Mus musculus: one gene and its partner. Each later gene encodes a partner of the first gene's protein in a complex. Links are inferred from orthologs where the notes say so. Each region holds a gene or a part of one and is shown in the gene's direction. Other genes may lie near its edges. The genes, in order: Adgrg1 and Cd81.

Region 1 (6,892 bases):
GCATGGTGAGACAGCCCGGCATGCTACTGGGGGTGGGCTCTAGAGCAGTGAGCTCACACACCCACATGCCCCTGAAGAATGGCTTCTGCCAGGGGTGGCCATAGGGAGACAGTCCTTGTCCCTGGAAGCAGTGGGGACCACCTCCATTCAGTAGCAGGAACAGCACTGAGCGCAGGGAGGATTGCCAAAAGCCAGTAACTTAACCTTCTGCTCTGCACTGGGGATGGGGAGCATTTATGGGGTATTTAGACATGTGTCAGCCATTGAGAGGGACTGAGTGTCTTCTCAGGGAGTCCTCACAGCCTGGAAAGGTGCCCCTAACACCTGCTGTGCACACATAGGAGGCTGAGGGAGGTGACTGAACAGCAGGTGGGGCTGGGCTTCAGGCAGTCTGAACTAGCAATCCCCACCCCCACCCCTTACCCCACCCTACCCCCACCTCATCATTTCTACTGCCCGCCCCACAGGGTGTTTGTTTTCTGAACCAGAGAGGCCCAGGCACCTAGGACTTACTAGGCAAATATTAGCTCAGTGGATAAATACAGGAACTAGGGAAAAATGCCCCAGTCAGAAGCCCTGCCTGAGTTCACACCTGCCACCGTGGGTGAAGCCAACACCTTCGCAAGGTTCAAGAGGAGCTCAGCCATGGCTTTCCACAGAGATGGGGAGCTCACCCCCTGACCTTGTGGGCTCCACCAGCTCTGAGAGGGAACATGGAAGCTTGAAAACACGGGGTACACACCTGGGGACTCCCTCACCTTCTCACGAGGTACCCAGGAAGGGGAGGGCTCTGTATTCTTTTCTCTGTCGTCAGTGATGGGTGGGAACAAGCCTGATTCTGGAGTTCAGCTGCCTGGGTGTGACTTCAAGCCTATTCCTGGGCCTGACTCTTGACTTGCTTGGGTGTACCCTGCCCCTCAGGGCCAGGATGCTGCTCCCTCCAGGATGAAGGAGAAGTCAGGTGTGACCTAGAGTTTACATTTGGCTCAGGTCTAGCTGCCCGGATTATGGTGGTTACAATCCATCTCTGCAGGTAGCAGGTCTGAGACTTGGATAGGTTCTGGTTACATTTCATTTCCTTAACCTACTGTACTAGGGGATGGTCTGGGTCACCAGGAGACCATACCTTCAGACTCACAAATGCTCCTCAGTGCCTACCTACCCTGCCAGGGCTCACTACTTTTCCAACTCTTGTTATCATTGGAGGGCAAGCAGGGCAAAAGAAGGGGTCCCCATTTGATATATGACCTGCGGCACAGAGAGGTTAAGCAACCTTTCCAAGGAAACCCAGTGAAAGTGGGCTCAAGACTGGGATTCTAGCACCAGTCCTTGCTATTAGGTGACAGAATGGTAGCTATATCACATGACGAGGCCCCTGAGGACATAGAAGAGGATGTGAAGTGTGGGTGTCACAAGTTAGGGATACAAGAAATCACTGGCACTCCCCTGTGTCCTTATCAGGGCAGACAGTGCCTCTGGGGCCATGGGGATCTGTAGTCAAGCTTTTTCTCTGGGTCCTTTTTTTGACATTCATCTTCCTTGGCTCCTCCCCACCCCCATCTGCTCAGTTCTAGAGATCCAGTTTGTGCTGGGCAGAGCAAGTTTGCATGCCCACCCTGTAGCCAGAAGTTCCCACGTGGAAGGGGTTATGGCGGGATTGAGAGTCCCAGTGGGGCCTATGCAGACAGGTGCTTATGTCATCTCAGGGGACTGGTGCTCCCTTTTGATATCCTTCTCAACTCTGTGGCCTCGTCTCTGTCTTTGGTTCCTTCATTCAGTTGCACAGCAGTGAGCACCCTCCTCCTCCTCATCCCTAAAGTCAGGATCACCGACCCCAGGGCCTTTGCACAGACTCTTCCATCCACTAGAATGCTCTGCTCTTGGTACCCCGTAGGCTGCCTCCTTGGATGCTGTCTACACTCAAGCATCATTTCTCACCGTGAATCCAGCCCTGCTCCTTTATCAACTCCCCTCACCATATTTTCTCCCCATTATTCTTACTATAGCTCTGGATAGATTTCATATTTATTGCTCATTAAATTTATGATCTGTATCCCTGCAGCTTTGAGCGGGCAGGGATTTTAGTATATGGCTTGTAGCTGTCGCTCCTATGCCCTGCACAGTGCCTGGATCACAGCAGGCTTTCCACAAACATGTGACGGAATCCATCCGCTGGTCCATCTGTCCATCCACCTATCTATCTATCCATCCATCTTTTCTTATCCACTCACTAGCCATACATCTTCCCTCTAGACCAGACCCTATTCTGGCCCTGCTCTGGTAACTGCTGGGGAAAAGCAGACAAGACAAGCATGGGGATTGACCTGAGGGGCAAGAAACACAGTGGCGGAAAAACATGGCGGGAGGGCCCGGTGGGGAGGGAAGCGAGGTAGATCCTAGGGGACTGACAACCCCATGGGCCTGGCCCACAACAGTGTTTCATACCCCTTGCTCAGAGGATCAGCTTCTGCTTGGATTGGCGTCCTCAGGGAAGTATGGCTCAGCCAGCAGGTCTCTATGTTGGGAGCTAGGTGTGTGCATCAGGACTCACACACATACCCCGCCCCCATACTAGTGCCTGATTGCAAGAGCATTGAAAGAGAGGTGGGTGGCAGGGTCTGAAGGAAGTGCCTGCACGAGGCCTCTCTCCATTGGTGGAGCTCGCCTGGACTTCTCCCCTTGGCCCCCTTCCAAGATACCTGGGGCAGCTGCCACCTCCCATCCCTAGCAAAAAGCTCCAGTTCCTGCCCCCTCACCTTCTGCCTGCTCTGATCCCACCTGAGTCCAGCAGGACATATTGTGAGAGCCCCACCCACAGCCCCGGAGCCCTCCTGTATCCAGCCTGTGGCTGGTGTGAATGGCGCTGCAGACAGGATATGGTCTGAAGAGGCTGGAGAAGCCACAAAGGGCTGGCAGTTTGCAGGTGTGTGTGGGCGTGGCGGCCTGCCTCCCACAGCCTGAAAAGGGTCTCTGAAGCCCAGAGACAGCGTGATCCCGGCCTCCCACGGGGCAGCTTTTACTGTCTAGGGAAGAAATCCCCAAAGTCCATGGAGTCTGAAGACTCTGTCAAGCCTCGCTAGGAAACCTAGGAGTTTTAGAGGGCACTTGGCACCGGAAGCTAGCCGGGTAGGCGGAGCCTCACCTGGATTGAGTTCACAGCTGCCTAGACAGGCTCAGACTAGGTGCTGGGCACCTGGGAGGAGGAGGAGACATTAGCAGCAAAGGCTGTTAACAGAAGTGCCTGCCTAGGCTTGGAGGCAAGACGCTGCTGTTCACAGTGCGAGACGGAGGTAAGAGAGGGCAGCGGGTACGGCATGCACTTCGCCTGGCCTGGCCCGCTTGACCTTAGTCTAAGGTTTAGCGCAGTGCTTGGGAGTTCTCGAGTGTGTGCTGGATCGTATCTCCCAGGGAACGACTGAGTTTGAGGTTCTAGCTGGTCCTAGGATACTCCTTGCCGCTCAGAGTGTGGGGCTGGGCGTGCTCACGAGGGGGCACTGGAACACGTTGGCCAGCTGTGTCCCTCTTTGCTCAGAAGGGCACCACTGCCACGAGGGCCAGAGTGAAGCTTGGACCCTGGCGTGTGGTTGAGGACTGGCGGCATGAACCCCATTTTTCCCTTTGTCCCTAGTGCTTCCCAAGCAGTTTCCTCCTGAGATCCACGGGGGCGGGGAGGGCGGGGGGTGGGGGGACCGGTTTAGCAGCAGCTCACTTTGGTTGTTTGACTTTTGAGGAGGAAGAGGCAGGCAGCCTTTCCTGGTAAGCCAGCAAAAGGGTAGATAGAGCTCATGTATATGTCTCTCTGTTGCTGCCAGCCACAGGTCCCCATGCCTGTCAGCCCAGGTCTGTCACCCCGTCTGCAAGAGTCACTAGAGGGGGTCCCAAGAGTGCACACCTCCTACCAGTTGCTTCCCCCACATGGTAACCCCAAAGATGCACCCAGATAGGTAAAAGTTCAGGCTTGCCATGGCCTCTGGTGGGACCCTGGCATTCCTTCCAGCTGGACCCATGTCCCTAGCTGTACCATGATGGAGATAGACGGGCCCCCAGATGTCAAATCATATATGGCTTCTAAAGCCCCAGTGCCCAGCCCCCAGCCCTAGCTCACAGCCCCCACTCAACCAGACAAAGGTGGGCGGCTGGCGCCGCTGTTTGCCTCTGCCAGTCTGACTCCCTGAGGCGTGTGGGCTGCATGGTGGGCCCCTGCTAATGAGCATCTGTTATCACTCCATTATGCCGCCTGCGCCACCTGCACCCCAGCACTTAGTGGGAGACCCCGGGGGGTTCCCTGGCAGCTGGGCAGAGGGGCATGCAGAAGGCAGGAGGTGTTGGGGGGGGGCAAGGTCTTCCGGGGCTAGGGGGCCCCATGCTCTGTGGGATTTCTACAAAGTACTTAGGATTCCAGCTCTTTATTGTATCAAAAGAGAAGTGCTGGGGATGGGCGGGGTGTAATCGCCACACTAGGATGGATGAGGCAGATCGGTTTTGAGTTCCAGGCCAGCCTGGGCTACGTGGAGAGATGCTGTATTGAAAGAAAAAGGGGGAGGGAAAAAGGGGAGGAGGTGGTGGCAGTCTAGGGGGATTTTGGGTGAGGAAACGAGTGTCTGTGAATTCCCAAGTGAGTCTCCCCAGCCAACATCTCACAAACGCATCTGTGCTGTGTATGTATTGAGAAGGGGATGTGGTTGCACATGAGGGCACAACCAAGATTCCGGTCCTGGAGACTGGCAGTGAGTGACCTGGCATAGTGTTCTTCGTAAGATGGAATGACCTACCCATTCTTCGTACGGGGCTGTACTGTCTTGTGGGGTAGTCCCTAAACCTCTCTGGGCTTCCCTTGCCTGCCTTGGTACCGAGGAGATAATGCTTCTCTGCTTGATCAGAGACAGTTGGACCAGTTCTGGTATCTGAGCAGCTTCCACTCAAACCTCAGGACAGGACCCGGGGAGGGGCGGCATAGACCGGGCACAAGTGTGAAACAGTTGGCAGCAGCTGACATGGCCTTTTTGGGGAATGCTAGTCACCTCAGACCATGCTTGGCTCTCTAGCTGAGGCAGGGTGGCTTCTGTGGAGGGTCGAAGTCCCTCTGTTCCTGCACACTGGAGATATTTTAGGAGCAGCCTCAAGGGGCTAGGGAGATAACTCAGCTGGCAAACATGCTTGCTGTGGAAGCATGAAGGTCTGGGTTTGGATTCCCCAGCGCCACAGTAAAAAGCTGAGCTTGGTGGTTTGTGCTCGTACTCGAGAGAGGCAGAGACAGGAGGGTCTCCAGCAAGTCTAGCTGAATCAGAGAGCTTCAGGCTTTGGGAGAGACTCTGTCTCCAAAAGTAATTTGAAGGGCCAGCAAGATATTTAGGCTAAAGGACTTTCTTTCAGGTCTCATGACCTGAGTTATCCCTCTGGGTCCCACATGAGGCAAGGAGAGAACCAACTTCTGTGAGTTATCGCACACACACACACACACACACACAGACACAGACACAGACACACAACCTAATTCTTAAAACATTTAACACGTAAGATGGAGAGTGATGGAGGAAGACACACACAGGGTTGACTTCTGGCCTCCACCCCATTTGCACATAAACATGCACACATTCATGTATTTCAACACACACTCAAGAGCAAACCCAGTGGTCAGGAGGGTGCCGTACCCATTTTTACACATGAGAACACTGAGGCACGGAAAGATCAAAGCCCAGCAATTTGATGCTAGACTCTCACGGCAGTTATGGAGGGCTTTGGAGCTATACTGGGAGGAACTAGAGTGTCGTGGAGAGTGGTTTGGAAGCTTAGTCAGTGGCTCCCGTGGGTCAGCCTGCTTCTGAGCAGAGTACAGGCCAGAGAGTCACACCCTGAAGAGGCTGAGCGGAAGTCTTCACCCTGAGAGGAAGACCTCATCATAACAACTCCCCCTGATCACCTGGGCTGCAGAGGGGACCTCTGTTTAGAGATGGGTAGGGTCTCACAGGAGGACCCCAGGCCTCTGGATCCTGAAGAACAGGCACAAGACTTGTGACAGGATTGGTGAGGGCTTATTCAAGATGCTCATCTTTGCCTTGGGCACAGGGGCTTCTGAATGCTGAGAGGCAGGGGCATGGCCCATGTGACTCTCTGAGCAAGGATCTGGCTGGATCCAGCCCTCTTACTGGAGGGCTCTTGGAGCGGGGGTGGCTAAACTGAGGGTCAGACATTCCGTCATGCCACAACATGAACAGGCGGTTCTTAACCAGTTTGCCTGTCTCAGGTAGCTGGGCACCAGGTATGCCCACCTCTGAGGGCAGTCAGTGGGGGATGGCCTTGGAGGCAGCCAGCATGAACTTGGCTAGGGAACAAGACACTGGATTGGTCTCTTCCCTGCAGTCAGGAATGAGGTGAGCACAGGGAGAAAGGTGGTGTGCCCATGCCGGGGACCAAGACCACTTCTCGTTGGCATGCCATCAAACATCATTGGGGCCAGAAAGAGAGACCTGGGGGAAGGAACTGTCCTGGAAGTCAAACCCTGGTTCCAGCCATGACACTGGGCTAGGGGGCTCCTTCCCTCTCCTAGTGTAAACCCCTTGGCAGGGCTGTAGGGGAAAACACCACCCACTCCTATGGCTTATGACAAGTCTACCACTGCTATTTGGCACAAGGGGTGAAGAGGGACAGTGCTGTGGCCACGAGGGGGATTAAAGAATTTCTGCTAGCATCTAGGATATGGGACTTGCCTCAGACCGCAACCTAGGGCTTTGGAAATCTGAGGCAGGTAAATTTAGGCAGAACCTGCTTGGCTCCATTCCCATGGACCTAGAGTGAACTCCAAATAAGGTCTCAGAAATCAGGCATACTTGACTTGGGCAGACTCAGCTCACATCTTGTCCTGGGCCTTGATTCCACATTATCTGCTATGTTG
Region 2 (7,085 bases), on another chromosome or scaffold:
TTGTCACTTAACGCCCACAATCAGGAAGCAGAGATAAACACTGATGTTCATCTCACTTTCTGATTTTTATTCAGTTTACAACCCAAGTTTATGGGATGGTGTCACTCACACTTAGTGTGAATGCCTGTAGGTATGTCCCACAGGAGATTTTAAACATTTGCCAGCACCCTGTCCTGCATGGCACCTTTCCATCTTGCTGGATCATCCTTCCTAGAACCCTGGGGAGAAATGCCAAGACTGCCTTGTTTGCTTCACTTTGTTACGTCTCTGACCTTGGTGGGTGAGGAGCCTTCAGTCTTCCTTGAGAAGAACAGGCTCGAGACTTTTATGGATCTTCAGTTCGTCCTCAGGTCTGGAGGACAGAGCCCCTTCTATTGCTGCTGAATGAAGTATTTTATCAGGAGAGTTGTGGGGCTTGGAGAATAGAGGACAGCATTTCCTGTGACTCTAGAGATGCTCACAAGAGTTTTGTCTGGCATTGCTTGGCCGTTTTTGGATGCTGAGCTCTTTCAATACACAGCTGTCTTACTCCCTGACCTGCATATGAATTTCTAGCAAGCAGAAGTGATGATGGTGGCAGCCAACAAACCCTACAAGAGCAAGCCCTACATAAACAGCCCAGGTTGGGGAGTCTTCATTTTAGGAAACCATGGTTCTACAACAAAATCCCCCTACCTCCTGCCAAATGCACACAGCAGGACTCCTCTGTGGAGTGAGTCACAAGACTCTGGGACTGAGCCAAAAAGAGCTTGACCTTGACTTTCCCACAGGCCAGGCCCTGCTCCAAGTAACAAGGACACATTGACCTTCTGTACTTAGAGACTTTCTGCAGCATTTCTGTCACACTTGGGGAAACTGAGAAGCCAGTACAAGTTCATACAGACAGGAGAATTGTGAGACAAGCCCTGGCTAGGAAGGCCCATTCTTCCCATCTTCCCACACCTGCTGGACAAGGGAAAGCAAATAGAAACTTCCCATCCTGGGCTTGAGCTTCATCACTGTTTTCTTGGAAGCCAGAAAAGAGATATTTTCAGGCTGAGCTAACCGCCGGGGACATTTTCTGATGCACCCTCTGGGTACCTACTTGGTTCCCCCATGTCCTTATAAGGCCAGCTGGCAGGATGTTGGACAAGTCACTTAAGATGTAGTGCTCACAGGTGCAGGCTCTGCAAGGCACCCCTTGTACTCTTGCAACCAACCAGTCATCTCAGCAAGTCTCCTGGGCCTATGAGATTGTTCCCTACCCCAACCCCTTCAATGGGAACAGAATGCAGCCTAAGTCTGCCTTCCACCTAACTCAGACCTGTCTGGCCTTCTGCCCATATCTGTTCCTGATCCAAGAGCTTCCTACCAAAGTCCAACTTGGTAAACCGATTAGTTGATTTAGGTTACTTACAAAAGTATGGGTGAGGGGTTACTTACAGCATCAGAGACAACTCAAAGGGAGCTGTGTCACCAAAAACCTCAGCATAGGTGATGGCTCACAAAAGCTGGAACCCTGGAGAATGGCACTTGAATAGGTCAAAGCATGGGCTGTCTTCCTAATTATGTATCTTTAGGGAGGAAGGGACCTGTTAGTTTCAGGAACGTCTAAAACTTGTTAGTTGTTCATTTCCGGAGTCTTAATACTTTCCCTCCAGAAAGGGATGTTTTAATTTGGAGGAAAACTGCTTTACAAAAAAATTCCCTACCATGATTGGTCAAACATCATGGAAACTCTCTCCATAGCATGTATGTGACCAGAACCTAAGGGCCCCAAAGAAGCAGCCTTGGTTTCTAGGCTGTCCATAGCCCTTGGAACAGTTCCAGGAACACAATGGCATTCACTAAACCCAGATGTATCACACAGTACATAAACAAAACAGCTGGCCCTGCATGACGTTCAATGTGTAACCCCACTTTAGGCATGAGGTATCCCCATCACTGGAGACAGTGGAGATCTGAAGAGAAAGCAGGTCCCCATCTCTGCACGTGCAAGAACTATTCTTGCCCACTTTTAAATAAAAAGAATCCTAAGAGACTCCCTCCTGGAGACTCAAATGACTTTTAGTGTGATATTACTCCAGCATTTGGTGACTAGTGTTACTTTTGTTGTGACACCACTTCAGCCTCCAAGAACTATAAATGTGGACACAATCCTTCACTGTAGCAGCTATACCAGCCTGAAGCCAAAACAAATGCACAAATTAACTCTCAAGAAGCCTACTAGCCTAGCCGAGTAGAGATAGCTCCACCCAGGCAGCTACTGGCCAATCATCAGGTTTACATGTAAATTATACATAGTTCAAATTTTCGCCCTTTAGACAACTGGGCATGGTGTCCTAAACCTACAGTCTCAGCACTTAGGAAGCAAAAGTAGACAGAGCTCTGTTCCAGGAACCAGGGCTACATTGTGAGATTCTCATTCTCTGTCTGTCTGTCTGTCTCTGTCTGTCTGTCTCTCTCTCCACATATATATTATAGATATTCCTTTCCTTTGTTTAAATATATATGTATATCTATTCCTTTTTAAACATATTTCCAGTGTCCTGTAGCCAGAGGGGTGCCAGGTGTGATCTCCATAGGGAACAATGTCCTTAACTGCTCAAAGATTTAAGAACATGGAGTGACCTGGAAAAGGCTGAGTCTTGGGAACTGGTCCTTCCATGGTTCCCAGTGAGTCTAATGAAGCAGCCCCATTGCCCTTCAGTTTGGGGAAGGGAATGCCAAGATTTCACAGGAATATCATCTATGATGACAGCAGCCATTCCTCACCCGGGAAGGAAGCACCTCTGCCCTCTGAATCTTTCCTCACTTCCTTATTAATCCCAGCTTTCAGGGAACCAGCTAGAGGATGGAGGATGGACTCTTGGAAGGCACAGCCAGGATGGCATGAATATTTGAAGGTGCCCCTGAGGGTTCTCGAGCCTAAAGACTGGCTAAAGACATTGGGTACACTATTGACCTTCCCAAATGCAGCCTCCAGAACTGCAGCCAGGAACTCTATCTGTGAGATAGGGGATTAGCAAGGCTACAAAGAATTCCATTCTAGACCTTCAGGCCCACGGAGTTGCTGCCTGGGAGATCAATATACACAAAACATGTTAACTTTTAAGACTCTTTACTGTCGAGACACCTCCACTAGGGTACCCTCCGGGAAAGTCCAAGGCGTCCGAGTACCGGAGGAAGTAAGTGTGGCTTCTTTGGGGCAGTATCTTGTGGCCAGTTCTTAGTCGCGACCCAGAAGCCTGCCCCGAGGGTTGGGAACCCTTAAGAAACTTGGAGATTCATCCTGCGCACGCACAGTGCACCGAGTCCCCAAGAACCAGCTGCACCAAGTTCCAGAACGCTTACTCTGGGACTGAGGTGGCAGCACCCACCCAAGTACCCCTGGTCCGGGCACCCCGCGGGCGGAAGGCGGGGCCAGGGGTGGAGCGTCCTCTGGGCGGGGCCTCGGAGGGGCGGGACCTAGAGGTCTATAAAGAGTGAGGAGCTAGGCGCGCGCGCCCGGTCCGAGCGAGCGCGTCCTTGCTTCAAAGAGATAGTGACTCTCGCGCCTCCGGCTAGGCCTCCAGCCCTTCTCTACCCTACGTCTCATTCTCCGCAACGCAGTTCTCCGGCCCGCAAGCGCTCCAGGCTATCTGCCAGTCCCGGACCCCGGTACTGCGTCCCCATACCGCCCGCTCCAGGACCAATCCAAGCTCCGCAGGCCGCGCACCGCCATGGGGGTGGAGGGCTGCACCAAATGCATCAAATACCTGCTCTTCGTCTTCAATTTCGTCTTCTGGGTGAGCAGCCACTGGGGACAGGGCGCACCCCACGGTAGCCAGGCTGGGCAGCGCGCTAGGCCCTGCTGAGAAGGCGCAGCGCAACCGCGAAGTTGCGGCGCCACCTGTGGGCTCCGTGCGCCGATCGGGGTCCTGGCGCCCCTCGCCAGCGGGTTGAGGCCGAGGGCTGAGCTTCTGGGCCTCGGCTCGAGGGGCTTCTGGGGCCGGGAAATCAGGGGATCGCTGGCCTGTCCCCTCTGAGTGCTGGGAACTGGTGCAAGAGTCTGCGGGCTAGAGCCAGGTAATCAAGAGCCCTCAGCTATGAAGGGGGTACTCGCACCCTCCTGAATGTTGTTTTGGGGACCATCCTGCATCGCGAGCAGTGAGGGGGGTCGAGAAGGGCGGGATCTTGGCGCCCCGCCCCCATGAGCTCATCCTAGCCACCGCCCCTGGATAGGCGGCCTCGAAGTGGTGGGGGCACGCTCCGTACTTGCCTCGGAGACCTCAACCCCACTATTACTCCACCCTTGCTTACCCTCCAGCTTGGTATTGCCACCCTGGGGGCTCGAGCTCCAGGCCTAGAAGGCAGGGCAGCCCGGGCCGCGTGCTGCTGCGCACGGTGCCCCAGTTCTTGGCCACCCCCACCCCCATTCCCCCAGCTGCCCCTCCTCCTTGCCTGTCGTCTCCTGCACAGATTACAGCCCCGGCCTGACCCTTAGATCCTGAGAGGAAGAGGGTATGCAGTTCTGAGTTGGTGAAGGCCAGGGTGTTGCAAAGATCTGGGATCTGTACAAACCAGGAGCTTAGGATCTTTTCCTATATACAGGATCTAAGCTGGGCTCTCCACTTTGGAAAGAAGTGCACACCCATTTGGTCATCTTGGAAAGGAGACATGGGTATAAGAGGGTCTCCAAGTGTCCCTGGGTCCTGACTGTCTTCACTGCTGGGGAGTAGCCATTGGTGGTATGGGCTTCTTTCCATTTCCTAACTGGGTTGGGAATGGGGAGTCTTAACAGACCTGCCTGCGGGCACTTGAGTGAGCAGTGCTGGCCACTCCTCTGGACAGTGGTGCCACCCTCCCTGCTGCAGTGCACAGACTGCTGTTCCCACCACCCTCCTTCCCAGGAAGAAATGAGGTTATGCCAAGACAATGTTTCTCTAAAGTTGTTCCTGAGAGGGCAAACTTGTACAACGGCCCCTGGAGTGAGTGTGTTGGACAGGGGACACCTGTTTTCCATCGAGGACTGCTGAAGATCCCAGGGCGGGTCAGGGTGGGGTGGAGGGGAATAAGACGTTGGGGATGGGCAGGAACTGGGCTGAACTCAGCTGGGGCTATGTATGCTCACGCGGTGCTGCAGGGACCAAGATTGTCAGTCACGGTGACTCCAGAGAACACATTCTAGGGAGCAGCATGGGCGATGGGGTTAAACTTGCTCTGCCCGGGCATGCCTTGGGGTCTCGACTGGGTAGTCATGTTGGACAGTGCTTGCCTACTCTGAACCATGCAAGGAATTGAATGCACCCTCAAGAAGTGTGTTATCCACCCCACCCCACCCCCATTATTCTTCAGATGTGGGATGTCAGGATCCTGTAGGGTATTTCTTTCTTTCTTTTTTTTCTTTTTTTGCTCACCCACCTGATCCAAGCGCTAGACCCTCAGACTCCCTGGAGTGCTGAGGCTGGGTGAAGCTGCTCGTTTCCCAGGCAGCTGGGGTGGAGTCCCAACATGTCCCTGGGGTCTCTATTGAGGCTCCAGGAAACGGTTCTGAAGCCTCTCCCTGCTCCCAGGGACCTGCCTACTGACTGCAGAACAGTGAAAACTGTAGCCTTTCACAATCCCACAGACCTCTCCTCCCTACTCATGTTGGCCCCACAGTGGATAGGGATGTGGAGCAGAACCAGGCTACAACTGGTGGACACCACCCTGGCAGAGGGACTCCTTTTGTCCCTCGTGTGGCAAGGTTTGTACTGTGGCTGATAGTTCCCTGATATCATGAAATTGAACCTTTGGGGAGCCCCACCCCACCACTCTGGCCCTTAGTCTTCACTTCCTCCCTCTAAAGTGGGAGTTCTTGGGGGTCTCTGTCTCCTAGGATTGTGTGTAGACTAGCTAATGTACTCCAGAGTGGGGCAAGGGGCTTGGAGCAGAGAAGGCTCAGGAAATGGACACTGGACACAGTCTCCAAAAGGGAGTGGGGCCAAAGGAAGCTGAGCAATGATGTCAGAAGGGCCTAAGGAGGGGGCTGAGAGGTCCTTTGGGCCGTGGTGGGGGCGGGGGCTAAGAGCTCTAAGAAGGGAGATTTGGTTGACAGTAAATGTTTCGATGGACACTTTTTAAAATTTCCAGTTTGAAGATTAAAGTGGTTTCTCTGTGGGAGGGGACATTCCGGGCACACTAACCTGCCTGCTGTCACTCCCACCAGTCCTCCTTGGGCTTGAGTTCAGAACCTATATTGGGGCCAGCAGAGTTCTGGACTCCCAAGATATATGGGGCAGGACACAAACCTGAAAGATGAGCGGTGAGCAGCAGAGACCATGTAAGATGCTCTTAGAAGCAGGGTGGTTACTCATCCCCTGAGACAGGTCTGGGATTAAGGGTCCAGTCTCCTCTGGCAATAGTCACCGGCTGGCAATAGGGCAGGAGAGCAGGGGATGGTTTATCACTGTGCCAGCCTATGGCCTCGGGTGGGTCTGTAGGAGCTTTGTGTGACAATGTCTCCATAGGAGTAGTCAGTTAAGGAGAAGAATCTTCACTGTGTTCCCCGACAGAACAGGCTGTTCCTCCAGCCTAAGGCTGCTGGTGGCCCCCGTCCAGTAGCCCAGGCAGCCAGACCCACCACAAAAGGCTGATTACAGCCTCTCAACTGGCATTTAATTCTCCAGACTGAACATGACTGTCTGTTGTGCTCGCTTCAGCAACACACATACGTGACTGTCTGTCACATAGTGGTCTGCTGGCTGCCTTCCGGCAGAGGGGCTCTAATTCTGTGGGCTCAGGGTGGAATGAGCACTTCCTGTGACTTGCCCCTTGCTCCTGGGGCTGTCTGCTCCGCCCGGCTTTGGGAAAGACAATCATTGGCCTGCAAAGGGGAAGTCTGTGGTTCATCCCTGGGCTGGCTTCAAAAAAAGGACATCCGAACAGTGGGGGCACAGAGCTGGAGTAGACCTGGCAGCCTCTACTCTGGTGCCCACACACTGCGACCTCATAATAAGAGCCCCCACCCCCATTCTTTCCGAACCCTTTAGGCATTCTCTCGGCACTTGCCTTCTAGCTCAGTCCTACCTCAAACGGAGCTTCTGTGATGCTCTAGGAGGGAACCAACAACTGCCAACCTTGAT

What was found.
Region 2: Adgrg1 (region 1) and Cd81 share a complex: the UniProt entries of both Homo sapiens proteins name them as parts of the GPCR-tetraspanin complex. The link is inferred for Mus musculus from reciprocal best matches to the Homo sapiens genes ADGRG1 and CD81.

What each region holds. Positions count from the first base shown.
Region 1 is NC_000074.6:94,974,128-94,981,019, forward strand, and holds the start of Adgrg1 (adhesion G-protein coupled receptor G1 precursor), read left to right. Parts: upstream 1-2,981; 5' UTR 2,982-3,290; intron 3,291-6,892. UniProt on the Homo sapiens protein: Adhesion G-protein coupled receptor (aGPCR) for steroid hormone 17alpha-hydroxypregnenolone (17-OH), which is involved in cell adhesion and cell-cell interactions.
Region 2 is NC_000073.6:143,049,300-143,056,384, forward strand, and holds the start of Cd81 (CD81 antigen), read left to right. Parts: upstream 1-3,450; 5' UTR 3,451-3,701; coding exon 3,702-3,767; exon of another isoform or gene 3,768-4,387; intron 4,388-7,085. UniProt on the Homo sapiens protein: Structural component of specialized membrane microdomains known as tetraspanin-enriched microdomains (TERMs), which act as platforms for receptor clustering and signaling.